Linked DNA regions of Nothobranchius furzeri. The protein of the gene in region 2 binds, or shares a complex with, the protein of the main gene of each other region. Links are inferred from orthologs where the notes say so. Each region holds a gene or a part of one and is shown on either strand. Other genes may lie near its edges.

Evidence for each region.
Region 1: tbp (region 2) and taf11 share a complex: the UniProt entries of both Homo sapiens proteins name them as parts of the TFIID basal transcription factor complex. The link is inferred for Nothobranchius furzeri from reciprocal best matches to the Homo sapiens genes TBP and TAF11.
Region 3: tbp (region 2) and taf8 share a complex: the UniProt entries of both Homo sapiens proteins name them as parts of the TFIID basal transcription factor complex. The link is inferred for Nothobranchius furzeri from reciprocal best matches to the Homo sapiens genes TBP and TAF8.
Region 4: tbp (region 2) and gtf2b share a complex: the UniProt entries of both Homo sapiens proteins name them as parts of the TFIID-containing RNA polymerase II pre-initiation complex. The link is inferred for Nothobranchius furzeri from reciprocal best matches to the Homo sapiens genes TBP and GTF2B.
Region 5: tbp (region 2) and taf5 share a complex: the UniProt entries of both Homo sapiens proteins name them as parts of the TFIID basal transcription factor complex. The link is inferred for Nothobranchius furzeri from reciprocal best matches to the Homo sapiens genes TBP and TAF5.
Region 6: tbp (region 2) and taf13 share a complex: the UniProt entries of both Homo sapiens proteins name them as parts of the TFIID basal transcription factor complex. The link is inferred for Nothobranchius furzeri from reciprocal best matches to the Homo sapiens genes TBP and TAF13.
Region 7: tbp (region 2) and gtf2h3 share a complex: the UniProt entries of both Homo sapiens proteins name them as parts of the TFIID-containing RNA polymerase II pre-initiation complex. The link is inferred for Nothobranchius furzeri from reciprocal best matches to the Homo sapiens genes TBP and GTF2H3.

The regions. Positions count from the first base shown.
Region 1 is NC_091755.1:54,208,247-54,213,164, reverse strand, and holds the start of taf11 (transcription initiation factor TFIID subunit 11), read left to right. Parts: upstream 1-1,519; 5' UTR 1,520-1,709; intron 1,710-3,749; 5' UTR 3,750-3,780; coding exon 3,781-3,957; intron 3,958-4,794; coding exon 4,795-4,918. Other genes in the region: nemp1 (nuclear envelope integral membrane protein 1), read right to left, coding at 191-312, 653-764. UniProt on the Homo sapiens protein: The TFIID basal transcription factor complex plays a major role in the initiation of RNA polymerase II (Pol II)-dependent transcription.
Region 2 is NC_091749.1:35,004,844-35,009,087, reverse strand, and holds the end of tbp (TATA-box-binding protein), read right to left. Parts: intron 2,875-4,244; coding exon 2,780-2,874; intron 2,579-2,779; coding exon 2,499-2,578; 3' UTR 1,385-2,498; downstream 1-1,384. UniProt on the Homo sapiens protein: The TFIID basal transcription factor complex plays a major role in the initiation of RNA polymerase II (Pol II)-dependent transcription.
Region 3 is NC_091755.1:40,694,910-40,699,902, forward strand, and holds the start of taf8 (transcription initiation factor TFIID subunit 8), read left to right. Parts: upstream 1-1,564; 5' UTR 1,565-1,692; coding exon 1,693-1,740; intron 1,741-1,921; coding exon 1,922-2,075; intron 2,076-3,135; coding exon 3,136-3,234; intron 3,235-3,321; coding exon 3,322-3,384; intron 3,385-3,506; coding exon 3,507-3,631; intron 3,632-3,742; coding exon 3,743-3,890; intron 3,891-3,973; coding exon 3,974-4,116; intron 4,117-4,907; coding exon 4,908-4,993. Other genes in the region: g0s2 (G0/G1 switch protein 2), read left to right, coding at 181-323, 411-783. UniProt on the Homo sapiens protein: The TFIID basal transcription factor complex plays a major role in the initiation of RNA polymerase II (Pol II)-dependent transcription.
Region 4 is NC_091751.1:71,400,970-71,404,017, forward strand, and holds part of gtf2b (transcription initiation factor IIB), read right to left. Parts: intron 2,865-3,048; coding exon 2,735-2,864; intron 2,522-2,734; coding exon 2,240-2,521; intron 1-2,239. UniProt on the Homo sapiens protein: General transcription factor that plays a role in transcription initiation by RNA polymerase II (Pol II). Involved in the pre-initiation complex (PIC) formation and Pol II recruitment at promoter DNA.
Region 5 is NC_091746.1:23,735,910-23,740,824, reverse strand, and holds the start of taf5 (transcription initiation factor TFIID subunit 5), read right to left. Parts: upstream 3,380-4,915; 5' UTR 3,320-3,379; coding exon 2,893-3,319; intron 2,621-2,892; coding exon 2,389-2,620; intron 2,315-2,388; coding exon 1,999-2,314; intron 1,914-1,998; coding exon 1,750-1,913; intron 1,654-1,749; coding exon 1,518-1,653; intron 1,431-1,517; coding exon 1,310-1,430; intron 1,225-1,309; coding exon 1,095-1,224; intron 1-1,094. UniProt on the Homo sapiens protein: The TFIID basal transcription factor complex plays a major role in the initiation of RNA polymerase II (Pol II)-dependent transcription.
Region 6 is NC_091755.1:48,193,693-48,197,195, reverse strand, and holds taf13 (transcription initiation factor TFIID subunit 13), read right to left. Parts: upstream 1,905-3,503; 5' UTR 1,790-1,904; exon of another isoform or gene 1,783-1,789; intron 1,717-1,782; 5' UTR 1,670-1,716; coding exon 1,295-1,669; 3' UTR 1,005-1,294; downstream 1-1,004. Other genes in the region: slc35c2 (solute carrier family 35 member C2), read left to right, coding at 3,147-3,257, 3,432-3,503. UniProt on the Homo sapiens protein: The TFIID basal transcription factor complex plays a major role in the initiation of RNA polymerase II (Pol II)-dependent transcription.
Region 7 is NC_091757.1:46,814,167-46,819,296, forward strand, and holds the start of gtf2h3 (general transcription factor IIH subunit 3), read right to left. Parts: upstream 3,396-5,130; 5' UTR 3,250-3,395; coding exon 3,240-3,249; intron 3,143-3,239; coding exon 3,063-3,142; intron 1,348-3,062; coding exon 1,241-1,347; intron 1,055-1,240; coding exon 924-1,054; intron 854-923; coding exon 791-853; intron 150-790; coding exon 120-149; intron 34-119; coding exon 5-33; intron 1-4. UniProt on the Homo sapiens protein: Component of the general transcription and DNA repair factor IIH (TFIIH) core complex, which is involved in general and transcription-coupled nucleotide excision repair (NER) of damaged DNA and, when complexed to CAK, in RNA transcription by RNA polymerase II.

The DNA.
Region 1 (4,918 bases), on a different chromosome or scaffold from region 2:
GCTGTATGTTGTTACTGAGTGATCGTGTTGAGATGTATAAATCTGGAAACTCTCTTTCCCTGTAGTTTGCTGTCTTCTTTTATTTTGAAACTATTTTAGATGCCATCTTGGCCAGGACTCAGTGGATCAGTGAATCTTATCACTTCAGTTAGAATAAAAGTTACATACAATAATAGTTCAAGAAACTCACCTGAATTCGTGTCCAAGTTTGCCTCCAAGTCGGCACTAGAGCATTTCTGTAGCAGAACCGGTTAGATCCTGACATGGTGAACTCTTCTCCATCCTGCAGATCAATTATTTGGGCTGCTTTCCCTGGATTTCACAAGCAGACATGTCTCTGGACTGGATAATCCTGTGAGATTATCATCTACTGCTAATTGTTAGAATGATTTATCTTTTGGATAAACCCAACTAATAGCTTATCCATGTGAAATGTAAAGGAATTGTACGAAAAGGGAATTGGGGTGATGTTAACTACTACATGTATAACCAACAGAATTAAAGAGGAACGTATGAAGCACCACTAAACTCACACAAGCAGTTTCACTTTGTGAAAGAAACAAGCTAACACTAATTAGCTGGATTAGCCTGAGTTAAAACACAATAAAGTAAGTGACTGTGTATTTTCCCACTTTGTAACACAGCTTCTTACCAGTACTCTGGAGTGAAGACTGGGGTAAACAGATAAAGAGTACAACGAAGACTAAAACTTTGGTTATTGCTGACTTGTAACAACAGTGTGTCGTTTTCACGCATCCCGCCATGGCCGTTCTACCTTAAGCTCCTCCCCTAACATCTACCACTTCCTTTTCCGTTTCTCGCGGCTCATTCCAGCCAATCACAGCGCTGGGTCGTCGTTGTTGTTGCACGTTAGCTTACGTTTGTTAAAGAGATAGTACGTTTTGTAAAAAAGAAGTATTATCTTACCTAAAGATAATTACTTCAAACTCCAGTTTCTAGCCTCATTGATATAAGGACGCTAACATGTTTTCTACTGATGTTTTACCCAATGACTAAAAATGACCAGAACCAACGTGTAGTTTCGGCTTTTCGCCACTAGAGGAAAGCAATTTACCTCTTCGTTCACAAAAAGCCAATGAAAAACTGAGTTTGAAGCAAGCTCCACACAGGCATCTTATCCAGGTAGATCCTTTTATAACAATTAAAGCCATTTTAAACCCGCTGTCGCATTTCTTATGTTACCCCTCCTTCACATTTTAACATCTCCTGTCGGGGACATAACAAAAGAGAAGGAGGAGGAGGATTTGAAGGAAATAAATCTGGATTAATACATGTAAAAGACTTCCTGAGTAGAAAGACTATCTAATTTCTTCCAAAGTCTGTTTTTTCCTTAAATGAAAAATATGAGCTCTATGCTGGTGGCAATAAACAGAACAGCACTATTTTACGTTCAAGATTCCCTAGAGTTTATGAATTCGCCTCATCAGCTACCCTCCAGTGCGGTAAGGGGCGACAACATTTTTTTTTTCCAAACGCCATTAACCCACGAAGAAGAAAAGGAAGAAGAAGAAGAAGAAGAAGAAGAAGAAAGAAGCGCTAGCTTAGCTTTTCACGTTTGTTGTGTGCTTTAACATATTATACAAATGTATCATGTTTAATCCACTTTCTGTTCACGGCTACCTAAAATACGTTTAAATTAGTTTTGTTGCTGCTTCCTGTGGTGTCGTTGAGCTCGTTCTGGCTTGAAGGTATGTATATGCTGTTATTTCTGTCGTGAAAATCCACCTTAACGGTAAATTTCATTTCTTTCTTTATTTAATAGGGACAGTGCATATTAATGAACTTCAACAATAAATTGCATCGGTAAATATGCCAGATTGTAGCACCAGTGCTAATTTACATCTGCAGTCCCTAGGCGGGTAATAAAAGCAATAAAAGAAAGTAAAGTATTGTATTTAAAACTAGGAAAAACAGAAAGAAAACACACAAAACACCACGGTGAGGACAAATTACTGATGGATACGGGTTTGGGTTTCCTGCAGCCATTGTTTGAATTTGAAGGAACTGCATGACTGTGAGTCACCTATGCTGAGTGGTAGACTATTCCAATATTTAGTCCAATATTTAGTTAGGATAGTGTGGTCGGGCCAAAAGCAGTGCGTCTGTAAGGCACCTCACAGTCTCCTCTATCTGTAGCCCTGGTCGACGTTCCACTGATAGACCGCGATTTATTACAATCTGTCAGTGGGAAAGGGGCTAGTCCATGTAAAACCTTAAAAAACAGGCAAGCATTCTTGAAGGTAACAAAGTTACTAAGATTAAGAAGTCTATATTTATCTAAAACAAAGCAGTGGTGGAAACTAAATGATTTCTTATCAAGGATTTTTATGGCTTTTAAAAAAAGGGATTCTATGGGTTTGAGTGTTGCACCAGCAGCAAGTGACCAGGAGGTTATACACTATTCCATGTGAGACAAAATCATAGAATGTAAAAATAACTTTGCAGCATGGAGTGAAAAAAGGTCTAACTTGTTAAAAAAATGACATTATAATTGACAGTTTTTTTTTAAAAGTTGTTTAATGTGATTCTTAAAAGTTAAGGTTGGGTCCAAAGTTAACCCAAGATATTTGAATTCTTTGACAATATCAAGTTCTACCCCTTCAAGAAAGATGTTTGATTTTTTTTAGTTCAATTGTTTGTTTTTTTTGGTGAAAAACATGCAAACAGTTTTTTTTTATGTTCAGCTTTAAGTGGGAACTCTTGACCCATTTTTGTACATGGGCCATGGTTGCAGTCAACAATTGGGAGGCTTCCTGAGGACGTTTAGTATCAGTAAAAATAACAGCATCATCTGCATACATTTGTATGTTTACTTTTGAACATACTTCGAGAAGATCATAAATATAAATGATAAACAAAATCGGCCCCAGAATACTGCCTTGGGGAACTCCAACTGGACAACTAATGTAGGAGGATTTATTGCCAAACAAGGACACATATTGTTTTCTGTCACACAGATAAGACTGAAACCAGAGCAGCGCCTCTGGTGAGAAATTAAAATGACTCAATTTGTTTAGAAGAATTTGATGATCGACGTGTCGAAAGCCTACTTGAGGTCTATGAACACAGCTCCTACACATGCATGCCTGTCAAGGAGACTTTTGACTTTTTCCACAAAGACACAATTTGCAGTCTCTGTGGAGTGGCAGTTACGAAATCCGAATTGCATTGGATGTAGGGATGTGTGTCCAAAATTTAAATATGCATTCAGTTGCTTTGCCACCCACTTTTCTGCAACCTTGGAGATAGTGGGGAGAATACTGATGGGCCGATAATTGGCCATTTCAGTTTCGTCAATTGGCGTGACTGCAGCTAGCTTCCATGCTAAAGGCACAACATTTTGTTTAAACGATAGAATAATTAAATGAGTTACCGGCTGAATTAGTGCATCTTTGTGCAGTTTTAAAAAATGGGTGTCGAGAGACCATATACATCCTTTGCCTTTGATTGGTTGCTGTCCACTTCTGTTATTTCTTCTATCCTGAAAACAGCATGACAAGGATTTACAGGATCAAAAACACCGTTAGACGGTGTGAATTGTTGAGTTATATCTCGAACTGTGTCAACAAAGTATTTATTCATTTCAGTAGCTATGATAAGAGGATCTTTCACCAGAGTATCATTTATTTTGATTTCAAGTTTATTAATAGCATATTTGGATTGTTTACCAGTTAATTGGTCTATATTTATCCAGATAAATTTATGTTGAGAACATTTTATGTTTGCAGAGGCTGAATCGTAGAGAGACGTCGAGAAACGATGGCAGATCCTGCTCGGATCAAAACAGAAGATTCTCTTCCGAAGACGGCAGCTTCTGCTATCGATGAAGAAGTAGTTAGGAAGGATCAACCTGAAAATGAACTCGTCTCAGAAAAACCTACAGAAGAAAATAAAGAACCGAGCGTGCAGGATCAGCCCACACCTCTGGTTAAAGCTGTGAGTGAAGCTAACCATAATGGTGCGCGGAAACATTGACAGGAGTTGATAGCTCTAAATAGTAAAACATGAATCTATAGAGAAGAGCCATAATTGAAGTTTCCTTACATTAAAACCTGTTTTAATTAAGATCAGCTTTATTTTAGCTGTGTTCTCAGGTGTGTAAATGTTTATGCTTGCATGAACAAAGTAGGTATCTTGTTACATCAAAGTGAAGATTTGTGGTGGTGGTGTGATGGTTTGGGCCTGATCCCCTGCATCTAATCCTGGACACATTATTACTAATAATAGGACAACTGGATATTTTATGTGTTTATATTTACAGCAGATAGAAACTTGTAGTTTGCTTAGACTCTTACGGGACATATTTTCTAATAAATAAATCAGTTTTGTGGTCATCATTAAACAAAAACCCACTATCTGGTACATGTCGCATAAAATGTGATTTCTGGTTTCATAAAACATCAGAGAACACATTTTTTGTTCAGGTGGTTAAACCAAATCACCCTTTAAGCCATTTGTTGTGAACTTTTTGCTCTTCTCCAATCTTTGTGTTAAACCTAAAAACGATAATTTAAGTACAAACAAAACACTTTGCTAAGGCCCGTTACCCCAAAATGAACAGTCTGTGTTAAGAACCCAAACAGTGTTTGTATAAAAGCAGCTAATGTAGTAACTGAACACTACGGTTCACTTTCTAAACCTGTGTGAAAATGTAGATGAAAGAGTTGTGTGTGCAGAAATCTGGAAAATTGAACAAATATTTATCAGTTTGGGCACTGCGGTTTAGTTGTGCCTGATTGTAGCATCACTCCACGTTTTTCTCCCTCTGCAAAGGAAACGACAGCAGGAGACGACGAGGATGAGGGAACCTCTGGCCAGCCTGCTTCTAAGAGGCTGAAGGTGGAGCCAGAGAAGAAAAAAGAGAAGCGCCACAAGGTCGATGAGGACGAAATACAAA
Region 2 (4,244 bases):
CCCTACTCCCTGGTTTAATGACAGCCTTCACAGTCTAAAGCGCCAATGCAGAAAAGTTGAGCGCTTGTGGAAGAAAACACATCTCCACGTCCATCTGCTGCACCTAAAGGATCTTCTGACATCCGTTAGCTCTGCAGTCAGAGACACTATTTCTCCAACCTGGTGTCCCAGAGCAAAGGGAACCCCAAGGTGCGGTTTAACACCATCAGCAGCATCGTCTTTCCTGCCTCTCCTACAGCCTCCATCCACTCTGTTGCAGACTGTGAGATCTTTCTGTCTTTCTTTGTGGACAGTCAATAAGGTCAGATCTAGCATCTCTCCTTCAGCCTTATCGCTGCCTCTCCCAACTCCAACCAGGCCCATCATCCTAGATAGCTTTGCTCCTGTTTCTGTGCCTGAGTTAACCAAACTAGTTAACTCTATGAAGACCTCTGCATGCCCCCTCGACATCTTACCCTCATCTTTGTTTTAAAGTGCTTTTCAGTCCAACAGTCCCAGCGTGCTCTCCATTATTAATGCTTCTCTGGTTTCTGGTCAGGTCCCTGCTTACTTTAAGAATGCTGTAATCCACCCGCTTCTTAAAAAACCGAGTCTTGACCCCTCTCTCCATAGCAGCTTCAGACCCATCTCTAAACTTCCGTTCATCTCCAAGATCTTGGAAAAGGTTGTGGCTAAACAACTCACAGCTGCTCTATTAAAACCTGGATGGCTGGGAGCTTTCTACAGCTGAATGAAGATCGTTGTCGTCTTCCTCCGCTTATCCGGGTCGCGGGGCAGCATCCCAACTAGGGAGCTCCAGACCGTCCTCTCCCCAACCACCTCCACCAGTTCCTCCGGCAGGACCCCAAGGCGTTCCCGGACCAGATTGGAGATGTAACCTCTCCAACGTGTCCTGGGTCGACCCGGGGGCCTCCTGCCGGCAGGACATGCCGAAGCACCTCCCCAAGGAGGCGTCCAGGAAGCATCCTGACCAGAAGCCCATACCACCCTTGTTCTTAAAATTTAATGATTTTGACATGTCAGTTCCAACATAATCACCTACAAATGATTCTCTTTTGACTGATGTTACATGGGAGACAATCCTGACTTGTCTTTTTTATGATGGGTATCAAATAAGCCACAATTCCTTTTGTAAGAATGATTGTATTGTTTAATACACAAATTACTTTATTTCAGATATTCAGAGAAATTATGTATTTTCTGCAGCTCTAACATCCAACTACAACATGTTTTAACTCTTACCCAGAGGTTTTCCCTAAACTATTTCTATACAGGGATTCAGTATTTTAGTCTTCACAGTTTATTTCTTCATGGTGACTTTTGGTTTTACGCAAGAGACTTCAGCTGTAAAATGTTGCTGCAAAGAAAACCAAGTAGACTTGAGTCATATGTACACTTTTATTGGGTGGAAAAGAAAACAATGGACCAAACTTCTTCGAGTCTGCTGGGAGGACAGAAATCAGACAGAAGAGACAAAGATGGAGACTGAACATGTCACTAAATAAACCAGACTTTTAACTAGTTGCCATAAACGTCACTAGCTGACCGTATAACACATAAGACCACCAGCAATGACTTCAATGTGATCCTACTTGAGTTTTAATTTTAGACAAAGGCCAAACAGCCAAAATTCTGCTGATTTGAAACAACCAAAAACATTTTTAAAACTATACTGCATGGGTTTGAAATTAATATTAATCATAAGAGCTTTTTTTCCCTTATATCAATATTGAGCCTACTGAAATCCCGCTGAAGAGCTGCATCGACTTTAAGATTGGCATCACTTCTCATTCTAATTACAGAAGAACATATACACACATTCAAGTTTAACCATTAAACACTTTCTTCCTGTAACCACAACAAACCAGTTCTCTCTTTCAACAGAAAGATTGTTTCACGACTTCAACCAGACAAAGTCGAAAGTTATCAAACGCCTCTAAACAACTTAACTGTTTAGCAGCAGCAAACATTCATGGACAACTTGGCCAGTCAAATAAAGATTAGCTCAGCTTGAGTTAATGGGCGTCTACTCCCAATGAGTGTAAAAAAAAAGTCATTAATCAGGATTATTTTCTACCTTAAGGGAGTAAGCATAGGATTTAAAATCCCAAGTATCATGTACAGCAGGGGATTTAAAGAGAGGTCAACAAATGCTAACAGCTGAGAGTATAAAAGTATTTAAAACAGCTTCACATAAAACCAGCAGTCCTAGTCGTCGAACTGCTTTTCTGCTCAACAACACTTTACATTTTTTACAGTCATATGTACAGTTGGGGATGAGATGGGACAACAAAAACCTGCAACCACAGGACACAATAAACATGGTCAGAGTGAAAGAACAACCTTTAAAATGATGATTAAAAAAATTGAAGACAGAAAGATGGATGAAAAAACTCCCAACACCTGCATCAGTCTACCTTCTCATTAAAAATGTGACATTAAATAATGAATGAAATAAGAGGATCAGGTTTCAGGAGGTGGAAAAGAAACCCCAGGTCCTACGTCGTTTTGCGGAAACCTTTCAGAATGGGGTAAATGTTTTCAAATGCTTCGTAAATCTCTGATCTCACTTTGGCCCCTTCAGGAAAAACAAAAAAGATTGAAACATGGATCAGTATCAAGATGAATCTAGAAAACTTACAGAATCTCTTGTTCTATTTTAAATAAAAAAATTACAATCCTTTCAAAATAAAAGGAGATCCAAAACAATGTGCCAAATTATTAGGTGATACTTTAACTAGAATCTAAAAATACACCCGTCTGAGAGCTCGGGCCTTACCTGTGAGCACTACTTTCCCAGAAACAAAGATGAGCAAGACGATTCTGGGTTTGATCATTCTGTAAATCAGTCCTGGAAACAGCTCCGGTTCATAGCTACAAAACACAAGTTAGACTTTCACAATTATATGAATTTTAAATTAAAAAAATGTACCATTTTTAATTAAATCTTTGCAAACATTAGCGATGCTCAGATCAGGTTTTTTGCTGCTTATGGATTGGCCATAAATGTATCAATGCTGTTATTATACTTGCTACATGATCTGGAATAAAGGAGCAATAATATTGCCCAATTTTGACAAAATCATTTTACAAAATACAAGACTTGTCAGTGTGTTTCTGACCAGAACTTATAAGCCTTCTACTATTTTCAGTTCAACTCAAGATGATCATGTCCAGGATGACAGAGAAGCTTCCCCTTGTGCTTAGGGCTGTAGCGAAGCCTCGACTACGTCGACGGCTCGATTCTAAAAATTTGTCGACGTCAGATCCGGAAGTCGACGCACCGCGCCCACTTGTTGCATCCCCAGGAGTTTGTAAATAGAGGAGGAATCTGCCTGTTTTTCCTCTAGTTCGCCCTCTTCTCCGCCTTCACTAACATCTCCGCCAAATACCGAAGACCCGGAACAATGTCCGTCCACTACTAGATTATTTTCCTGTTTTGCCCGCCTTCGTCTCCCGGCAACGGACAACAACTTCCGGGGTCAGATGCGCTGCTCCGTCTCTATCGCAGATGTAGAAAATCACCGGGAGCGTTTCTCCCTTCATAAAGGAGCTTCTTTCAGACATTAGGAGAGCTGTTTTGGTGGTAGCAGTCTCTCCTCCGTGCTGGTCTGTTTGCTGCTGGGTGTTTTGGTTTATTTAAACTTGGTAACTTGAACTTAACGTTGGTAAAGCTACTGTTAGCATCTTCGCTAACAGCTTCTTGCGTTGGGATAAGCTGTTACGTTTTGGTTTAGAGTTAATCTTTTTTGTGGTGTAGATCTCCCTTTTATTACATTTAGAGTGTTGTGGGTTTTCGGTTTAGTGTAAAATATCACCTTGAGTTTGGTTTAACCCGTAAGACCACTCGCCTCACGCACATAAGTGACCAAAACAAAGCAGCGTGGAGACACTCCATCTTCTACCACCTCTCAGGCAGCAGCCTGCACTCCCAAGTTCTACACGTCACCAGAACATAACCAACCGCAACACAATAAAAGCAGTGTTATACAAAATGGAAGGCCTGTAGTGTTTATTCTCTTACAGTAACAATTTATCAATTTTTTTGAGGAATTTATTTGAGATTTTCTGGTTTTTGTTAATTGTGCAATAGAAAAATAATCATTAGATTAATTTTCTAAATAGTCATTAGAATAGTCGACTATTCGATAAAATAATCGTCAGAATAATCGTTTTAAAAATAATCGTTTACCCCCAGCCCTACTTGTGCTGTATTTTTGTTACAGGATGCAAAGTTTAGATCA
Region 3 (4,993 bases), on a different chromosome or scaffold from region 2:
GGGTTTTCCAAAACTATTTTCAGTGACTGTGCACTCACTAAACAGTTGTTTACTGTATGTGCTGCACATCATGTGTGATGTTACACGTATGGGGAGTGTTTGTTCAACTTCTCTTCCCCACAAACCCATGCCCTTTGACACAAACACGTGCTAATCTCTGTAAAAGGTGGCCTCATAAATATGCATGGTCTCTCCTCTGTTGTGGGAGGAAACGCGGCTTCGGCTGTATTTAAATGGGAAGTCTGCTCCAGCCTCTCCACCTGCGAATGCCTGATCGTGCCAAACACTTGGGAGAAATTCACATTTTTGACGTCTGCCTTAGAGTGAGTATCATTCATTAGCCAAATGTCTTTGTGATAATTGTTTTTTCCACAAAAGAACACTACATTAAACTATTATTTTTCTTCCAGCAGAATCATTGCATATCAGAAAATGGACAGCACCAACGAAATCATCCTTTTTGCCAAGGAAATGCTGAGACAGAAGCCCAGCTGGAGCATGCTTAAGATCTACATGCTCGGCTCGACTCTGGCGATGATCGGGATGGTCGGTGGTGTGGTGGAGATGATTCTCCAGCCCTTTTTAGACAATCACAGCCCAGGGGAAGAACAAGCAAAGTTCTACATCGAGATGAATAAGGAAAACAGTACGAGCAAATCAGACTCTGCCACAGTTCATGCCGAAGTTGAGGACATGATGGGAGCAGTATCGTTTGGAGCCAAGACTAAATATCTGGGGACATCTATCCAGAGAAGCTCAGCCAACCGCTTACATGCTTCTTAAAGAAACACTCCACACCACTTAAAAGGACAAAGATATACCAGTATTGTTGGTGGTGGTGGTGGTGGTAGCCTGCATTACCAAATCAAGCAGCTCATTTTTTATTCTTTAATTTATTTCAGATATGGTTAAATGTGTAGTTTTTCTTAGCTGGTGGCTAAAACTTAGCTGAAATGTTACAATAAAAACTGCAGGATACAGTTTAGTAATGCTGCTGGGCAGCAGGTTCCAATGGCTGACATGCACTGGGTGTCTATGGAGCTCATGAAATGCCATTCGTGTCATTCATTTTGTACTTAAATAAACATTTTTTCTGCTCGCAGAATTTTGGCCCTAATTTAAAGCGCCCACAGATTCAGATTTATTCGACTTTAACGGTAGAGGTTTAAGCTTTATGCATGAGGAGAATTTTATTGAGTAAAACAAAAAGTAATGTGTATTTAGCACTGTTCGCAGAAAAAATATCACCAAGGGCTTCACAAATAAAAACTGTAAACACCGCATACAACCTGTGTAAAAATGTGCTCGTAAAAACAAAAGAACATAAAATAAGGTATAAAAAAATTCTAACGTAATGTGTTTTCAGCTGTTTCTCAACACAATCTTTTCAATAAGAGCACAAGGACAGAGCTAAAGTGTGGGAGCCACTGCTCGAAAGGCCCGACCACCTCTGGTAACCAGTAAGCAGTAAAACTGGGGAGATGTGCGCCCTTACTGGTACGTTATGTCAGCAAATAGCCACTAGATGGCAGAGTGAAAGACTCTAATACTCAATTTCACTTCCGCAACAAAAGCGGAAATTACGTCATAGTATGAGCTGTGTTTACAATCGACGGTGAAGCGGTTTCTGGATAAGTAGAAATAGAAGAAGAATTGCATTTGTTAGAGAAGGAAACCTGGAGCTAACCTCTTATGGCGGATCCAGCGGTAGTATCGGGAGGGTCGCTGCCCTCCTGCGGGGTAAGAGATGCTTTTTAGGGCATTAGAACGCGCCAGCTAGCTTACAAGCGCCTCTCATCGCCACAGTTATTACTACTGTAAATAAACATGTTGGTCCTTGGCACGAGCAGTAGTATTTCGATAGATATTTACATTAAGCTAGCACCTTACAACGCCAGGGTTTGTGTGTGTGCTCTTTCAGCGTGGCGCTAAAGCGGCTTCCAGCGCCGCGGAGAACTACCAGCTGGCCCGCCGTCGCACCCTGCAGGTTGTTGTCAGCGCCCTGCTGACCGAGAGCGGCTTTGAGAGCGCAGAGAAGGCCGCGGTGGAGACGCTCACGGAGATGATGCAGAGCTGTAAGTGTTTACAAACAGTAGCTTCTGTCCGCTGAGCACGAGCTTCCAACACCAGGTTAAGGCTATTCAGATGAATGCATGTTTACGTCTAAACTTCACTTGATCTAATCAGTCTAGGTTAGTTTAAAGAGCAAGTCACCCCCAAATCAACTATTTTTTCTGATAAACTATATAAATGCGTGTCTAATCGTGCTGCAGACACGTGTGGTCAATAGTTTTGCACTTTAGTGCATTTTAGTTAAAATTTAAATTTTCTGCCTTAAACTGTCAGTGTTGTGCCGTTGTCAGGTAAAAACTCTTCACTGCATTTGAATTTAAATCTGCCACCGCTATTGGCTAAGAGGTATGCTATGATGTAAACTGGTACATTATGATGTCACAATGTCGTGCGTGTGTGTATTTGTTAGTGGCTCCACCCTCTCGGTCTGCTAGGCAACAGCATTTGTTGCATTTTTCAAACATGAAGTGGGAGTGGAGTACGCTTCTTGTAGGGGGTGACTTGCTCTTTAAAGAGCCTCCGTCCTCTATGTTTCAGCTGTTTCTGCTCCATCTGGGGCCCCATTTATAAACAAAACCGGGTCTGAAAACCGCGTGTGTCACTTTCCACGCACATTTATAAAGAAAACCTGACAGGAAAATGCGCACAACTTTAGGCAAACCCCTGTGGAGTCAGGGAAACTAGCAGCACAGCAGGTGAGATGACAAATGGTGAATTCAAGCCGCATTTGGACCCTCGTGTCTGCGCACGCACACACACAAACACACACAACCACAGTCAGCTCCCTCACCCGTCTCTGAATAAATAAAATGAGAACTTAATAAAAAATATGTCGCTGTTAAGAGATCACAATGTGTTCAAATGAACGTCTTCAACCGGAGTCACGTCCAGCGTTTAAAGAAGTTAAATAAGAACTAGTGACTGCAGGTTATGACTCTGAGAGCTTCTATCCACTACTGTGTTGTACGATTGGTGCTGGCCTTTGATGAGGTATTTGTTTGGTTGTTTAAAAGCGTGCCTGTAGAGTTTTTGAAATACTAATGGTATCATTTTCCTGTAAAGATATAAGTGAAATAGGTCGTTGTGCCAAAGCATACTGTGAACACACGGCCAGGAGCGTCCCAACCCTCTCTGACACGGTGGTCACACTCATTGAAATGGGTAAGACTGAAGGTGCATCAGCATGGTGACATGTTTTTTTTTTACTGTGAACACACTCCTAATCGGTGATTGTTTGTCCTTGGAAAGGTTTTAATGTCGACACTCTCCCCGTGTACGCCAAGCGGTCACAGAGGATGGTCATTACAGCTCGTAAGAAACAAAACCTGACATTTCTGCTGTTAGAGCTGTGATGATACCCTAGGATATCAAGTAACGAGTCACGGTTGTAGGCTAGTTTTAAGTTCTACATGTTTGTATTTCCTGATTTTTAGCTCCAGTCACGAACACACCAACAACACCTAAATCCCTGTCAGCTGGGCACAAGCGCACTCACCCACCTCATATTCCTAGCCACTTCCCAGAGTTTCCGGACCCTCATACCTACATCAAAACACCTGTAAGTTCATCAACATAATCTCCATAATAGCCCTATAAAACCACGTTCACCCCCATAGTGGGTGATGTTGCATAAACAGGTGTTTTGCGAGGCTCTCCTTCCTTCCCTCAGACATTCAGAGAGCCTGTGTCCGAGTACCAAGTGGTGAGAGAAAAGGCAGCGAACCAGAGGAGAGACGTAGAACGGGCCCTCACACGCTTCATGGCCAAAACTGGAGAAACTCAAAGCCTCTTCAAAGACGACGTCACGGCCTTCCCATGTGAGGGATCCCGACTGTACATTACCCGTCAGATTGTGTGTAACCCTGTGCATTAATACAGAATAACACATTGCTGTTGTTAGTGATCGCAGCTCGGCCAAGCACCATCCCATATCTGAGCGCCCTCCTGCCCTCGGAGCTGGAACTGCAGTCGCTGGAGGAGACGGACTCCTCTGAGCAGGACGACCAGACCGACAGCGAGAACACAGCTGGAAATATGGTGACAGTAAGTCTTCACAGCTGGGAATTGGTGCCAGGCGCAGTAGAGTAGTAGTAAAAATAACTTTTTGAAGGTGCCATTCTGAAGGTCTAAACTAAGAGGAACAGGGCAATAAAAAGCAGCACTTAGGATTGAAACAGAGAGAGTCGCAGCTACACTGCGGAGTGTGTTAGAACGGTTAGGAGTAATAGGAAGGATAAGGCGCTATCCAAAATAACACAAGAGCTCTTTATTGGTACTAGTGTGGTGTTAGTGGAGTAATCAACAGAGATACGTTTCTGCGATTAGCCAGGGATGGTTCAGTGTCCAGAAGAAGTTTGATCTGAAATGAACTTAAAACAGTTGGAGGCAAACCAGTCTCTGATTTCAGCAGCAGACCTGCCAACTTGTACGCAATCTGGCATCTATTTACGCTGGTACGACTCACCCCTCTAAACTACCTGAGTTGAGTTCTGTGGCGAATATGCACGTGTGGTACTCATGTCTGACTCAGCGGCGTGGTGAAGAAGTTTAAGCCAATCATCGTAGAGAAGCAGAGAAAAGCTATCCTGCCTAACCTAGCGTAACACCCCCGCCCCCCTCCTCCCTGCTTCGTCCTGCCCGCTGCTCCTCTCTCCTGTGTGTGTGTGTGTGTGTGTGTGTGTGTGTGTGTGTGTGTGTGTGTGTGTGTGTGTGTGTGTGTGTGTGTGTGTGTGTGTGTTTGTCTTTATCCATTGCAGATAGATTTGGCCTGTATATAAGGAGGAATGTGATTATTTATACAGTTTAAACAAGCAGCCATTATTTTATTTTCGCAGCTCGTTTTGCAGCTCATGCTACGGCAGATGAGGGAGAAGCGGACAGGGAGGGATTGGTTAGCAGACCTGCCAAACAGAAGAGGATC
Region 4 (3,048 bases), on a different chromosome or scaffold from region 2:
TGGTCTCTTCTGAAACAGAATTTAGGGATGTCCCGTTCCGATATTGGATAACTTCCAATATCGATATTGGAAGTTATCCAATATCGATATTGGAAGTAATCCAATATCGGCCCAAAAACAGTATCGGATTATATCTGCCGGCATTAAAAGTCTCCGATATAAGCGGTCCGTTAAGATTCACATTTTTGTAAATAACAGTTAAGAAAAAAACTCGTGTTTTTCTAACTTACTGTTATTGGCTCTTGTTCTCTGATTGGCTCTTGTTCTGATTGGCTCTTGTTCTCTCATTGGCTCTTGTTCTGATTGGCTCTTGTTCTCTGATTGGCTCTTGTTCTCTGATTGGCTCTTGTTCTCTGATTGGCTCTTGTTCTCTGATTGAGTAACATCACTGGATCAAGCCTTTCATACATTCCGCACTACGAAACAGGTGAACGTTTGTGTGAACACTGCTGATATCGTATCGGTATCGGTCAATTATGAAGGCTGCGATATCTATCGCATCGGAGGCCCCCGGGTCGACCCAGGACACGTTGGAGAGGTTACATCTCCAATCTGGTCCGGGAACGCCTTGGGGTCCTGCCGGAGGAGCTGGTGGACAAGGCCAGGGAGAGGACGGCCTGGAGCTCCCTAGTTGGGATGCTGCCCCCGCGACCCGGACCCGGATAAGCGGAGGAAGACGACGACAGTGAAGTGAAAACGTTTTATCAGAACATCCCTAACAGAATTATTCTGAGACTGGTGAAACCCTGTCCAGATGCCTCACTGGCTGCCAGTCAACTTCAGGGTTCATTTCAAGATCCTGGTTCTGGTCTATAGGGCCTTACATGGACAAGCACCATCTTACATTGGTGATCTTCTTAGTCCCTACACCCCCAGCAGGTCCCTGAGGTCCAGTGATCAAAGCCTACTGGTTGTGCAGCACCAGGCTAAAGGTCAAAGGTGACAGATCATCAGACTGACCTCTCTCCCTCTGAGCCTGAATCAGTGGACTCAGTGGTCTCCTGAAAAACACTTAATCGAGCAGTAGAGGGCGATAAAGTCCTCTGCTGCTCGCAGATAAACGGGAGCGATGCCACCGACATCGATGCTGGCTCTGATGGAGCGGATGCCAAAATGTCAGCTAAGGTAAAAACAAGCTCCTCCTACTCGGTTTGACAAAGAACCAAAGAAATGGAGTCACCAAGTGTTTCATGCGGGCTGAACATGAAAATAGTCTCCTACACCTATCTCCTGCTTTCTGATAGAAAACAGACGGTGAAACTCTGGGATCAGAAAATCCTGACAGATCTACGTCACGCCGTCACTAACGTTCATGGACTTCACCCGTCTAGACCCGCAACGGGGGAGGCTGTTGTTGGTTTAGTCCAGAGAACATCTCCGCTGGTAGAAGCGAACTGTTAGCGACTCCACCACAAAGCAGAACTTCTCTAGGGTTGTTGTAGAGCTAAAACATCCACATTTCAAGTCAATGGTAAAGGCGTGCTGCTGTCATCCAATCAAAGAGCAGATGTGTAAATATGAGGAAGTAAGACACCAGACGCTGCCGTCCGGAGCTCGGCTGTGATGCTTCCCCTGTTCACCAGACATCATATCTGCTGTTCGCGGTTCTTCGTTTGCAGCTTGGTTGTACAGTGTACATGGAACACACACACACACACGCACACACACACACACACACACACACACACACACACACACACACCTGTGTACATCTCTGTACACTAAAAAGAACGTAAAACTTTTCCGAGTTTTGATGGAAATAGAAAAATGAGCATTAGGAGGGCAGAATGGGAACCTGTTCCCTCAGTCTGGTGAACTATTCTCAGTCATTAAACCAAACCCGACCCAGCACGGTGGAACAAGTCACACAGGAGGGCAGGGCTTAGGGACCGTCTACAAAGTGCATCAACCTGCTACTAAAACTGGATTAATCCTGACTGCTCGTGTGTGTGTGTGTGTGTGTGTGTGTGTGTGTGTGCGTGTGTGTGCGTGTGTGTGTGTGTGTGTGTGTGTGCGTGTGTGTGCGTGTGTGTGCGTGTGTGTGTGTGTGTGTGTGTGTGTGTGCGTGTGTGTGCGTGTGTGTGCGTGTGTGTGTGTGTGTGTGTGTGTGCGTGCGTGTGTGTGTGTGTGTGTGTGCGTGTGTGTGTGTGCGTGTGTGTGCGTGTGTGTGTGTGTGTGTGTGTGTGTGTGCGTGTGTGTGTGTGTGCATGTGTGTGTGTGTGTGTGTGTGCGTTATCACCTTTCTGAGTCTTCTTCTCTGCAGAGGCCTGAGAGGCCATGTAGATGGCTGCAGCAGCCACTGAGATGGGGCTCCTGCCGGGTACCAGGTCGAGCTCCACAGCTTTCCTGGCGATGAAGGTGGCAGCCATTTGCACCTGCTTGGGCAGGCCCAGGTTGGAGCAGAATCGGGACATGAAATCACCGGTGGTGATCAGGTCCACACTGGTCTCCAGAGCCTTCAGGATCAGCTTGAAGCACCTACCTATCTCCTTCTTTGAGATCCGAGAGACGGCGCAGATCTCTGCAGAACAACACATTTCAGTGACAGGGTCACGTCTCCAGCAGGCCGCTGTGAGCAGCACTAATGAAACGTTTTAGAGACATTAACACCTGAGAACTTGCAGCAGGAAACCTTCACCCCTGAGAAGATCAGGTCCCCAAACTAAATGCATCCCAACTCTCATTTAACGAGGGATGTCTGGACACCTGAAGAGGAAATAAGTATTTATCTGACCTTTAAAGGTTCTGGGCACCCCCTCCTGTCTGCAGGCGATGTAGAGGCAGGCGGAGGCGATGGCGTCGTTGGCTCGGCCCTTCAGACTCTTCTGCTCGTAAACCTGCTTGAACAGGTTGTTTGTTCTGTCCTGGAGAGGAGAGCCACACAGCGTGTCAGCTGGATGTTCACCTCTACAGGTGTTTAAAATCACAAACATCGTTCTGTTGGGTGAAAAACCAAGTTGATCAACTTTTCAGTGTTTAATAACTCAGATGATGTCACTCGTCTGCAGCTTCAACAAAAATCTAGCTCATTTGTGTCACTGACGGCGT
Region 5 (4,915 bases), on a different chromosome or scaffold from region 2:
ATCTGGCCCTGGTTCCGCCGTCACATTCCCGCAGAAACTGGTTGATCACACCGGGGCCAGACTACTAGCATGTGGTTTTACAACCACAATGTCCTCAGAAGCAAAAACGCTTTTAAAAGGGAGGGAGGAGTCCTAACTGTTGCTGCAGGCGTGTTGTGTGAGAGTGCAGTTATATACTGGTTAATATATTTTTGGGTTCAGTTGCTTTCATGTGGCCTAATGTGACTCTATTTGGGATCATTGGAATGATCAGCAGCATTTCTTGATGTGACTTTATGGCAGTTGCCCAGGGCATCATCGCAAGGAGGATGGCATTCATTTACTTTTGTTTTATTTGGTATTTTTTCAGTCATTTTTGGAAATAGTGATCAATTTTGATTAATTCACAGTCTATGTTTAATTACATTTAAAATAAATGTCAACAGATGAGATCAAACAAAACAGATGAGAATTGCCCTTAAGCTGTTTAACTTGGACCAAGCATTTTAGGTCACAGATAGATGTAGCTTAGGGTCTCTGTCTATACACCTTATAAGACAATTTAGGTGATGGCATGTTGTTTTTCTGCTATTGAACTGTTTTCTAATAATGTTGTGTTTAATAAAGTGAAGGAAGGAGAGAAATAACGTTTCCCTAGCAGTTTTTAAAAATTCCCCCATGTAATCCGATTAATCGATTAATCGTGTCGAGACCCCATCCGATTAATCGATTATCCAAATAATCGTTTGTTGCAGCCCTAGTTTAATGTCCCCTTTAATTCAGTTTTGTCACATTTCTACGGGTTCAGTTCGTCACAAAATGGGAGGTGTTTCGGGCATGTCCTGCCGGCAGGAGGCCCTCGGGTCGACCCAGGACACGTTGGAGAGGTTACATCTCCAATCTGGTCCGGGAACGCCTTGGGGTCCTGCCGGAGGAGCTGGTGGAGAAGGCCGGGGAGAGGACGGTCTGGAGCTCCCTAGTTGGGATGCTGACCCGTGACCCGGATAAGCGGAGGAAGACGACGACAGTTTGTCACAAAATGCTGTTCTCAGAATCTTTGATTAGCGTAAAACCATGAGTGGGCTAACATGGTCATGTTGCATTGTGGGTACTACCTGTCTGGGCTGAAGCTGATGCCGTACACCGGCCCGCTGTGTCCGTAAAGAATCTTCAACTCGCTGGCCGTCTTCTCGTCCATGATCCTCTCCAGAACGTCGTCTGACTCTTTGTCAATCAGATTCAAATCTAAAAAAAGACAAAGAACACAGGATTTTAACTCCAAACATCTGCAGAACTTCTAAAGAGGCGATTATTCGGCCGCGCGCTCTACCTGCTGCAGACTTGACCTTGCGGAGCTTCTTCGGCGTGACGCTCCACACCCGAACCGTGGAATCAGCAAAACCACCTGCGATCAGGCTGGAGTCGTCGGTGACGTCCACGGCGGTCAGACCCTGTGGAGGTCGAGCAGCATCAGCTGCAGCTTACATCGCCACAAAACCTTTAGCTTTGATCAACCCTACTGGTTAGTGCTCGTTTACCTGGTACGCGTTGAGGAAAGTGTAGAAGCAGATGGACGGGAGGTTGTCGGACCCCAAACGGATCCTCTTGGTGGACTCCTTCATGTACATGATCTTGTCAAGCTTATCAGAGTCCTTCAGCTCTGGGAGAGGTATCCTGAACAGCAGAAAAACAAACAAAGGATTTCCTCCATTGGTGTACGTTTGGATCAGCGGGAGGAACGTGGTAAGTTGTTGCGTGACCAACCCACACCTGGTTTGTAAAGGAGCGTTTGGATCCTGCTTCTTGCTTTTGGAGCCCATGCTATCCTTTTTGGGCTTTTTCTTCTTGGGTTTACCCTCCTCGTTCTCGGCCTCTTCATCCTCATCGTCAAGGGGCAGCTCAATTTCTGGCTCCTTCAGCAGGCCGTAAAAAACCTACGCCAGATAAAGTAAAACGTGCTTCAACGGGTCTCTCCGTTAAAATGGAGACCTGGCCTCATCTTGGGTTTGTTCAACCCACCTTAGCCTTATTGGCTTCTCGTCTGGCCTCTCCTGCCAGGCTGCCCGACATTGCATCGATCTGGCTCTTGCTGCGCGGCATCCCATCGAAGATGTCGATGTACAGGTGCTCTTGGATAATATTCCATATCTGGTTGTTCTGCCGCTCCTGTAAATGTCTCTTGAGCAGCTGGTACGAGTCTCGGGAGATCCGTAGGACAAACTTACTGGTGCGGAAGTCCAGCAGCGTCTCGTTGCCTTTCATGTGCTCCTTCTTCGTCAAGCTGGAGAGAATACGTAGGTCCTGTTCGTAGTAGCACTCCTGGTCTCCACTGAACCTGGGAAGATAAATAAAACAGGGAATTTACAGAAGAAGATCTGCAGAATGTGGCTGGAGGATAAAGAGACCTACTTTTCAAAGAAGGCCTTGGCCACGCTTTCATTGTTGTTGTACACCAGCTCCAGGTACATGTGGACAAACAGCGGGTAGAAGAGCTGGGACAGCTCCGCGCGGTGACAGTCCAAAACGGACTCTATGAACCTCTTGAGGCCGCTGTAGTAGGCGTCATACAGAGAAGGATCTCCCTGCTGGCTGTAAGCTGACAGCACCACGCTCACATCTGGCTGGTCCTCCCCAGCTGCTGCTGGACACCACGTCATCCATACAGGACAAAGAGAAAAAACTTCATGAGATGCAAAAAACAATAACTAGTCACCACTTCTGAGACCAAGCATAAACCAGCAGGAGAAGCGGAAAGTGAGTAAAAACATGCAGCTAGGCTGGAATCTGCAACAACACGTGTTTTAATTATCCAACCGTAAAAGTGTGTGATGACTTAATTGTGATGTGTGACTAAAATCACGTGTTTAACTACAACTATGCGGTCCGCTTCCACGTAGCTGGATCAAACTGTACCCTTCTTTGGCGCCTGCGCTGCGGCGGAGGAAGACACCGTCACCCGGCTGAGCAGAGAGCTGGCGTCCACGCCGTCTACTTGCCCGCTCCCCGCGGCGAGCCCCGGTCCCGACCCGCTGGCGTCCGTCCCCTTCGGGTCCAGAGCATCCTCCGGCAGTCCCGCCTCACGACGCAAGATTTCAGCGGACTCCGCCAGTTTGCTCTTTTTGAGGAACTGCAGAACTGCCAGCAGCGTCTGTTGCTCCTCAGGTGGTCCCGGGGCAGGTTTGTTGTTTCCAGTCGCGGTACCGCCGGTACCGGCTCCGGGGGACGAGGAAAGTAGCCTTCCGTCGTTTGCATTGCTGTTTCCGAAGCCATCGCTCGGCGGTTCGGATTTTATGTCTAATTCGTCTTTTGCGTCGACCATACCACCCTGTACGGCCGCCATTTTAAAAATGAACTGCGCATGTGCGAAATTGAAAAACGGGAACCACCGACTACGCAAGATCGAGCCTTCAGATTGGTCGGTACTACCAAGCGTCAATGGACACGAATCAAGTCCCGCCTTCTTAAAATTCATCGGCTTTGACTACGATCCGCTACGATCAAAAGTGTATGGCAAGCCGTTTGACGCAACAACACATGAAATTAATCCCAAATACTCTAAAGTAAGTTTAAGATTAAATGATCTGTTTGTTGATATTTTTGATCTGTTTGTTGATATTTTTGTCACACTTGATATACATAAATCATACGCCTCCTGTTAAAACCACCAAGATGATTACTAGGGATGTGAATCTTAGAGCAACTCACAATTTGATTCGATTCCGATTCTTGGGGTGCTGATTCGTTTCAGAATCGATTCTCGATTCTCAATTCTCAATTTAAATCGATTCACAATCAGTATTAACAAAGAGTGTCAGCTCCAGGATAAACTACTTTGTTGTACAAGTTAGTTAAAGCTATGGGACATTTTTATTTGACTTTAAACTGGTCATGCTCCAAAAATGCAAATTTACAAGGTAAACTAAAGTGATTCTAAAACTGTAAACAGAAACAACCTTTTGACCAAAAGGCAACATTTATTTTTGCTTACCTTGTAAAATATAACTAATCTGTAGTTACCTAACAGTAGCTTTGAAAGTAATACGGTCAAATACTTTTCAAGTATGTGTAGAAACAAGTTACATGAGTAATCCTGAGTACTCGTTTATCAACTTAGAAAATAAATATGAGAATATCTCAAATTTCTTTGTATGGGAAAAAAATACATTCAAGTGCCCTCTTATCAGCAGATTCAAACATAAATCATCTCAATTTATGGGACCACAAAAGTAAACAGAGTACTGACTCTCCTAACAAAGATCAAAAAAGTGCATCTCAGACCTGTAACATGCCAAATATTTGAGTTCTTGGAAGCAATTCTGAATCTTTGTGAATCGATTCTGAATCTTTATAAATAAGAATCTCGATTCAGACTTGAATCGATTTTTTTCAGCACCTCTAATGATTACCTGAAGACATAAGCAAACATACAATAGTGATTAAATGTTACAAGTGTGCCTCACACCAGGTTGTAGAGTTCACTTTCACGCTGCTGAAACCAGAATTATTACCAGTTTTTCCTTTTAATGCCCATTGAGTTCATATAATAGATTAAATAGGCCACATCTGCAGGTTTTTGTCTAGGAAAACTTCCACTCCTTATCTTAAACAGGAACAAAACAACAATTGCTGAATGTGAATTAAGCATCATTTAATAGCAATTCCTCTTCAGCACATCCTGAGCTCCTTTAAAGGAATCTCCTACCATCTTTATGCAGATGACATCCAACTGTACATCTCCTTTAAGCCCCATGAGATGTCTAAGCTGCAGCTGTTACACACCTGCTTAGACTCTATCAAAACCTGGATGGTGGGAGCTTTCTACAGCTGAATGAAGATGAGACTGAGATCCTCATCTGTGCCCCAGACAAGCTGGTTCCCAAAGTCAGAGACTCTCTTGGTCAGCTTGCTTCTCACACCAAACCTTCCGTCAGGAATC
Region 6 (3,503 bases), on a different chromosome or scaffold from region 2:
CTCAGTTCAGATACATAAATGTTTATTATTTAAAGAATCAGTTGATCTAAATACAAGAGAAAATAAAAACGACGTCCAGTTGTCCTGAGGTTGGTGTGATGTTACGCTCCAGCAGCTCTTCAAAGCTGTTCTTTTATTTGTGTTTGTTTGAACTCAAAGAAATCTTCATAAACTAGAACATCTGCACGTTTGTGAGCCAGCCAGGGTCACAAACATGCAGGTGTGAAATGAACCTCGAAGCCTGGATTGGACCTTTTTCTTCATATGAGACAACACTGAAGTCCAGCAAATATATAAATAACAGATCTGACTATTTCTGGGTTAAAGGTTTCTGAAAAACACTCTGATTGGTTGTACTTCAACACTTGATGGCTGTTGACGCACACTTCAAAGGAAGCGTTTAGATCCTTTGAAGTGTTCTGTGGAAATGTTATGAGCGATTAACTGTAGATATATCTTTGAATGGCATAACTGGTTAGTTCTGATTGAACAGATGAGTGAACATTATTACAAAATGCTTTAACCCTTTGATGCATGAATTATGAAATCTTCAACCATGATTTTTTTCATTCGTCTTTAGGTGTGAATGAAACAAATTTCAACAAATATATATTTTTTTTATAATTTACAAATAATTTATTACATGTCCACCTCAGTGGGCAGCGTGCATTCTGAGCATGAAACATGTTGGCTTGACTTACTGAAGTCCAAATGGAGGGGCTCAAATGCCATCAAGTCTTCAACAGCTGTGCTTTGTGCAAAAACAAATAAATAACAATTTTGAGTACCTGTCCACTGTAGTGACCATTATGCATCAAAGGGTTAACACTCACAATTATGAAATCCCAGCCAGATGTGCCACAGCAGGTCATCTCTTCTGCAGACAGCAACAAAGTTAGGAAACTAACGACATACGGGTACATTTAAGGTGTAAAAACTCTAATTTTAAACTGCAGAAACACCTGATATACCACAAAAGTCTCTCCAATCCAAACAGCAGGAAAGATAATGAAATGTTAATTTATTCACGCAGTTTCCATGGAAACACTTAAAAAAACCTTAACAATCCTTTCCAACACGTTGGCAGAAAGTTTCATTCTTCAATGTAAATAACAGATGTTGGTTTTCCTGTTGGTGTTGGGACTTATTTGAAACAAACTAACTTTATTTGAGAGTTTCCGATGACTTGACAGTGTAAACATGTCATTAAAACAGTCAGTTCTGTTATTCAAGTGAGAACCACTAAAAAATACACAAACCAGTTAGCAGGAAGCGACAAACAAACGCGAGTTCATTAGGAGCCGTAATTGGCTTCATCAAAAGCTTTCCGGGCTCTCTTCAGCTCCTCGTTCATGGTCAGGAGGTCTTTGACTCTGGCGAACTTTCTGGGATCCTTGCGAATTAGAAAAACGATGTCCTCCACCTGGACGCGGCCCTGGCGCCCGATAGACATGGCTTTGTGGGTCATTTCCGTGATGAACTCGATCACCAGATCCTCCAGAATATCCACAGACTCCGTGTACGGGTTCTGGTCGTCTCCAAACCCGTACATCATGCACCGGAGCTCCTTAGAGAAGAGTCTCTTTCTCCTGCCGTGGCCGACATCCACTCCGCTGGACCCGTCCTCCAACTCCTCCTCGAAGCCAGCCTCGTCCTCCTCGTCCGCCATTAATTCTGGAGGAAAACGCCGATAAAACGAGCCTTAACGACGCTTTACTGTAAGATAAACCTCACACTTACAACATGCAAACATCAAAATGCGTTTTAGAGAACAAAAATTACATTTTACTTTGAAAACTGGATCACAACAATCCCCAGACTCTTCTACGTTCGTTGTTGTTCTTCTTCTTTGGTATTTTTGGGCTTCAGCGTTTGACACGCCAACTTCAAATTGCATGACCGCCACCTACTGGACTGAGTTTGAAACGTCAGCGCAGATCTAATCTTTTGAATAAATTCTTGTTTAAAATCGAGATTGAAACGAGTCACAAATAAATAAATAAATAAACAAAATAAATTAATAAATATTAGAGCCATGAGAGTCACACTGACAGGCTGAATTCAACAAACGGAAAAAATAACGACTTCATATGTATATTAGGTTTATTTCAGATCTGCATCTATTCCAATTGTTTTCTTGAGTGTTTTTGTTTCTACTTAGCCAAACTATATCATGAATGATAATGAAGTTGAAGCTTTTTGGCGGTTTTTGTTTTCTGCTTCTCTAACCCAGCATGCATTTGTGAATAATGTGTCAACCTCCGTTGAAGGCGTAGAAGAAGAAACATAGCGGAAAGAAACACTAGCTCAAATATCTAGTGCCTTATTTTCTTTCTTTCTGTGCTCAGACGTGTACACAAGATCAGAACCGGTAAGAACTACACTAGAGTCGCTGGTTAGCTACTAAATGTTTCTATGTTAATGTTGTTAAAACGTTTAGAGATCCGAAAGTTGCGTTAGCTTAGCTGTCAGCTAACGGCTAAAGATAGCAACTGCTTGGTTGTGATGATTCTTCACAAGCCATCTGGTAAACCGGACACACTTTATATTATATCTAGATGTAAAGTAGGATGTGTGTGCTACGCCGTTCATCTCCACATGTCTCGTTAGCTGTTAGCTGTGTAGGCTAACGCTGTGGCTGTGGTAACACAGTCTTAATGACTTTTTGGTTTAATTTTATAGCATCTTCCAAATCCAAATCGCATGGTTCTTGGTCAGAATTATAATAAAGGTAAATAAAATACAATTTAACGCTCCTAGAAGTGAAGGGTTTTATTTACAACTCTCCTTAGTTGAGAACTTTATTTTAAAAAATAGTTTATTTTTAAGTTACATTAACAAGTCATGGCTGTCTGCTAGAGCTTGTTAAAGCTAGACCGGATGTGTCTTTCAGGTGTATAGGGTGAGGTCCCCCAGTCATTTCAGATAATCTAAGTTGAATTATATCTCACATATTTACATTATCTGTTGTAGATAAGGATGTTCTGTTGAATCCGAATAACATATCTCATATGTTTGTTGTTTTTCCCCTTAGGTCCTTATTCTAGTGAACCATTATGGGTGGTGTGGTGGGGTGCAGAGGTATTTTGGAGATGCTCCCTCTGCATTAACAGTCCATTCTGGACAGCTGGTCCTGGAAGTCCCGGATGGCGTGCCCAGTTCAGTTCCTCTTCAGAGGTCTTTGCACTATTGGACTGGTCCTCCTCTACTATGTCTTCTCTATAGGCATCACATTCTATAACAAATGGCTAATGAAGGTAAATGAGACCCATTCCCTTTCCCAGAGTGTTACTTTATTAGAGCTTCTTATTTGTTTCTTGATTGGTGCCCATCTTAATCCATATTATGTCTGTCTCCTGGAGTTATGGTTGCCATTTTTTTTTCCCAACAGCGGTTCTCGTTAATCCTGTCTACTATTTCATCTCACTCAGGGCTTCCATTATCCTCTGTTCATGACACTGGTTCATCTCGTCATCATCTTCTGTCTATCTTGTGTGACACGA
Region 7 (5,130 bases), on a different chromosome or scaffold from region 2:
TCACCAATATTCTTGATTTAATCTCCTGTGCAACTAAAAAAGAACAAAAAATAACTTATGCAGAGTGCTAAAATAACAAAACAAACTGTTTTAATTTGATAAGGGACATATGTTATTACCTCCCACCTCTTTTGAAATCCTGTTGATATCTGGATAGTTCTAGATGGAAGGAAATGTTACAGAACAATTCAATCACACCGAGCTCTGCAAAAAGAAATAAATCAGCCTTGACCAACAAAGTCCTGGTTGAATGAGAAATAAACTAATTATATAAGATGATTTTTAAAAGCTCCTCCTTGAACCGTCACCTTGGAAGAGTTTGAGTGCCCTATGATCCTAGGAGCTATGCTGTCTGGGGCACTTTGTGCCCCTGGTAGGGTCTCCCATGACAAATTGGTCTTAGGTGAAGGGTGAGACAAAGAACGGTTCAGAGGATCTTTCATGGATGTACAATCAAAGAGTCACCCGGCCCTGAGGGTTACCGGGGTCCCACCCTGGAGCCAGGCCTGGGGTTGGGGCCCGTGAGCGAGCGCCTGGTGGCCGGGCTTCCGCCCATGGGGCCCGGCCGGGCCCAGCCCGAACCGGATACATGGGCTCATCCAACTGTAGACCCACCACCCGCAGGAGCAACATGAAGGATCCGGTGCAGTGTGGATCGGGTGGCAGACCTGCCGGAGGAGCTGGTGGAGAAGGCCGGGGAGAGGACAGTTTGGAGCTCCCTAGTTGGGATGCTGCCCCCGCGACCCGGACCCAGATAAGCGGAGGAAGACGACGGTTTTTAAAAGGATACAGCACAGAGCTTTGGCAAGGGATCCAGCCAGAAGAGTATCAGTCGAATTTCCCGTCAATTCCGCTGCAAAAAAAAGTATTTAGTCATCTATTTACTCCAAATTCTTCCCTACGTCACACAGACTTGCACCTACTCTTGGACATGATATCCCTGATCTCTTCAGCGATGAGGTTGTTGGTGACAGATAGGAGCTCATATTTTCCATCCCTGCTGGAAGACGTATCATCGTTCCCTTTCAAACGTTTACTTGGATACAGGAAGTGACTGAGAGGAAGAAATGCAAATGGAATTTAACCTCTGGATGCATTTATGGACATTTCAATGTTGACCTTTTGTTAACCTACATGAACTTGTAGGTTAATTGGGATCTATCAAGCAAATGTAAAACAGTCAAGTTTTGCTCAAATCTGGAAACTATAGGAAAAGTTATTCCATGAAGTATAAAGTTACCTGTCCTGGCAGTGAGCAGCGATGACAGCCAGCTGGTTAGTCCTGGTCATAGCCATGTGTGCGTTTCCCATCACCATGACTGCATCCAGACACTTGGACAAAGTGAACTTTAAAAAAGAAAAAGAAAAAACAAACATAAATATATATATATATTTTTTCATCACTCCTCTAAATCCGAGACCATGGTCTTGAGTCAGGAAAGGATAGAATGCCTTCTCTGGGTCAGGGATGAGGTCCTGCCCCAAGTGGAGGAGTTTAAGTATCTCAGGTTCTTGTTTATGAGTGAGAGAAAGATGGATCAGGACACTGACAGGCGGATTGGTGCTGCATCTGCAGTGATGTGGGCATTGTGCCGATCTGTCGTGGTGAAGAGAGAGCTGAGCCGGAAGGCAAAGCTCTCGATTTACAGTCGATCTACGTCCCTACCCTCACCTCTGGTCACAAGCTTTAGGTAGTGACCGAAAGAACGAGATCATGGATACAAGCGGCCAAAATGAGTTTTCTCTGCTGGGTGTCTGGGCTCTCCCTTTGAGATAGGGTGAGAAGCTCAATCATCCAGGAGGGGCTCGAAGTAGATCCGCTGCTCCTCCCCATCGAGAGGAGCCAGTTTAGGTGGCTCAGGCATCTGGTTAGGATGCCTCCTGGTGAGGGTTTCTGGCAGGGATGTGAATCTTAGAGCAACTCACTATTTGATTCAATTCTGATTCTTGGGGTGCCGATTCGATTCTGGATTCTCAAATTAAATCGATTCACAATCAGTATTAACAAAGCATGTCAGCGCCAGGATGAACTACTTTGTTGTACAAGTTAGTTAAAGCTATGGGACATTTTTATTTGACTTTAAACTGGTCATGCTCCAAAAACGCAAATTTACAATGTAAAATAAAGTGATTCTAAAACTGTAAACAGAAACAATCTTTTGACCAAAAGGCAACATTTATTTTTGCTTACCTTGTAAAATATAACAAATCTGTAGTTACCTAACAGTAGCTTTGAAAGTAATATGGTCAAATACTTTTCAAGTATGTGTAGAAAAAGTTACATGAGTAATCCTGAGTACTCATTTATCAACTTAGAAAATAAATAAGAGAATATCTCAAATTTCTGAGTATGGAAAAAATTACATTCAAGTGCCCTCTTATCAGCAGATTCAAACATAAATCATCTCAATTTATGGGACCACAAAAGTAAACGGAGTACTGACTCTCCTATCAAAGATCAAAAAATTGCATCTCAAACCTGTAACATGCCAAATATTTGAGTTCTTGGAATCGATTCTGAATCTTTATAAATAAGAATCCCGATTCAGACTTGAATCGGGTTTTTTCAGCACCTCTAGTTTCTGGGTACGTCCAGACCCAGAACATGCTGGAGGGAATATGTCTCTCGGCTGGCCAGGGAATGCCTTAGGATTCCCCAGAGGAGCTGGGCCAAGTGGCTGGGAAGTGGAAGTCTGGGCCTCTCTGCTTGGGCTGCTGCCCCCACGACCCGACTCCGAATAAGCGGAAGAGAATGAATGGATGGATGGAATGTGTAATATGAGATGTTGGTAATCAAAGTATTTTTGTAATCCAACACATTTCTAAAGTAGTAACTGATGTAAATTATAGAAAAGATTCATTCAAATAATATTTGGTGACTCAAATAGGAGAGAAGAACTTATCCCATGTATTAGATCTTGTCACAATTATAAAATATCCTGATTTAATATTAATAAACCATAATCCGTTTGTCTGACTTAAAAAGATTATATATCCTTACTACATATTGTCAAAATGTGATTTTAGTGACACTGCATATAAATAAATAAATAGTCTGTCACCTCCGGCTCGCTCTGAGCATGCTGGCCCCACCAGATCGGATTCACGTCCACCACAACCACCAGGAGACTGATTTCTCCCTCTGAAGAAATGAATGTATAAAACACCATTCTGCAGACTTGAAACAACAGTAATATATTGCATCAAAAGAACGTAGTGAGACAATAAGCAAAACAAACCTGATGCCATCTCGAAAGTATTTAATCGAAACAAAAGAAACTAAAGTTTTTCTAACAGATTTTTCTGTTGATAACTTCCGTCCATGGTAGAAGACCGAACAAAAAGTGTTTAGGGAAAAAAGCTTTTTGTCGCCGCTAGATGTGCGTCATCACTGTGCGACGAGTTTCTTTTTCACTGCTACAAACCAGCGCAGTGCTGCCACCTGGACTGTTGTTTTGTTTGCCAAATATCACATCCATTGCAATAAGCGGAGGGGTACCAAGCCCTCATTTCCATGCTTCTTGAACGAATTTAAATTATTCTACTCTTCATTAAGTAAAATGGAAAAAATGCGAGAATTATCTCACGGCAAATAACTGAGAACTGTTTTGAGTTTCCTTTGTAAATCATGCTCCTTTGTTTTTTATGTTATTTTGCAGCACGAAGGTTGCAGGTTCGAAACTCGGCTGTGGTCTTTCTGCGTGGAGTTGCGTGTTCTCCCCATGCATGCGTGGGTTTCCTCCGGTTTCCCCCACAGATCACAACATGCCATATAGGTTATAAATTGTAATAGTCGCTTTGGATAAAAGCGTCTGCTAAATGAATAAACATAAACATTTTCCTTTTCTTTGATAAGCCCCTAGCCTGTTTTTAAGCTTACATCCTCCATGAGAGTTTGTACCTTAATGTCGTACCTTGTTCTGTTATGTCTTTGTTCAGGAATAATAATTAAAAAATAAATAAATAAACAAAGCAGTACACCGGTCACTGTTCACGTTAATCAATATGGCGGAGTCACCGGTAGGTGAAAAAATAAACAATATAAACATCTAAGAAAAAAAACCTGGACTGTGACTTTTTTGTGACATCACACCAACGCCACAAAATATTTTTTGTGGCGTTGGTGGAAAGTAGAAAACACAACTACTAAAATATGTACACAATAAATAACAAATGTATTTGTTGAGATCTAACAAAGTGGATAGGCATGTTTCTCTGAAACTGTACTTCACACACCTGTTCATGTTCGTAAAAAAAGTTCTTGACCCTAACTGAAGCAGCTGTTTCTCATTCGTTAATTAATTAAATGTATATTCTAACAAAATGCTTCTGTTTAACAGCAAGTATGCATCTGCATTTAAAAAAACTACAAAAACTAAACATTTTTGTAAAACTACTAAAGCTAATACAAAAGAAAAAAAAACAGACTTTATTTGGACATATTATAAAATCAATTTGCATAGGTATAACATTTTATTAAAACGATCAATTTCATAAATGGCCTGTACTATATAGCGCCATAGGGGTCTTTTTTTCCGTCTTGCTTTCTGGCATCTTTTTTCTGTTAAAGTCAACTTCTTTACAGTCAGATAAAATGACAAAAGATAACAATACATACAAACATGAAAAATAAATGAATAAAAAAAGGAATATAACCTCTCAAGGCACTTCACAACACAAGCAGTCATTCACATGCTGGTGGGGATGAGCTACAGTGTAGCCACAGCTGCCCTGGGGCGCACTGACAGAGGTGAGGCCTGTCATGCACTGGTGTCACTGGTCCCTCTGACCGATACCAGCAGGTAAGTCGGGTTAGGCGTCTTGCCCAAGGACACAACAGCAACATTCTCCAGTGGGAGCTGGGATCGAACCTACAACCTTCCGATTGCTGGACAATCCACTCTACCTCCTGAGCTGCTGCTGTTCCTGACTCAAATAAGTTCCATTGTATATCATGTAAAAAGCACAAAAGAAATCCCCTACATTTCTGATACAGTTAGCTCAAATGGGGTTTCGTACAATACCTCTAGCAATGGTGGCTGCACCCTGTTCACATAAAGTTTTGTTTTCATCCATCTGCTGGGATATTTTTCATTAAGCATTCATGGAAATGTCTGAAAATGATTAGCT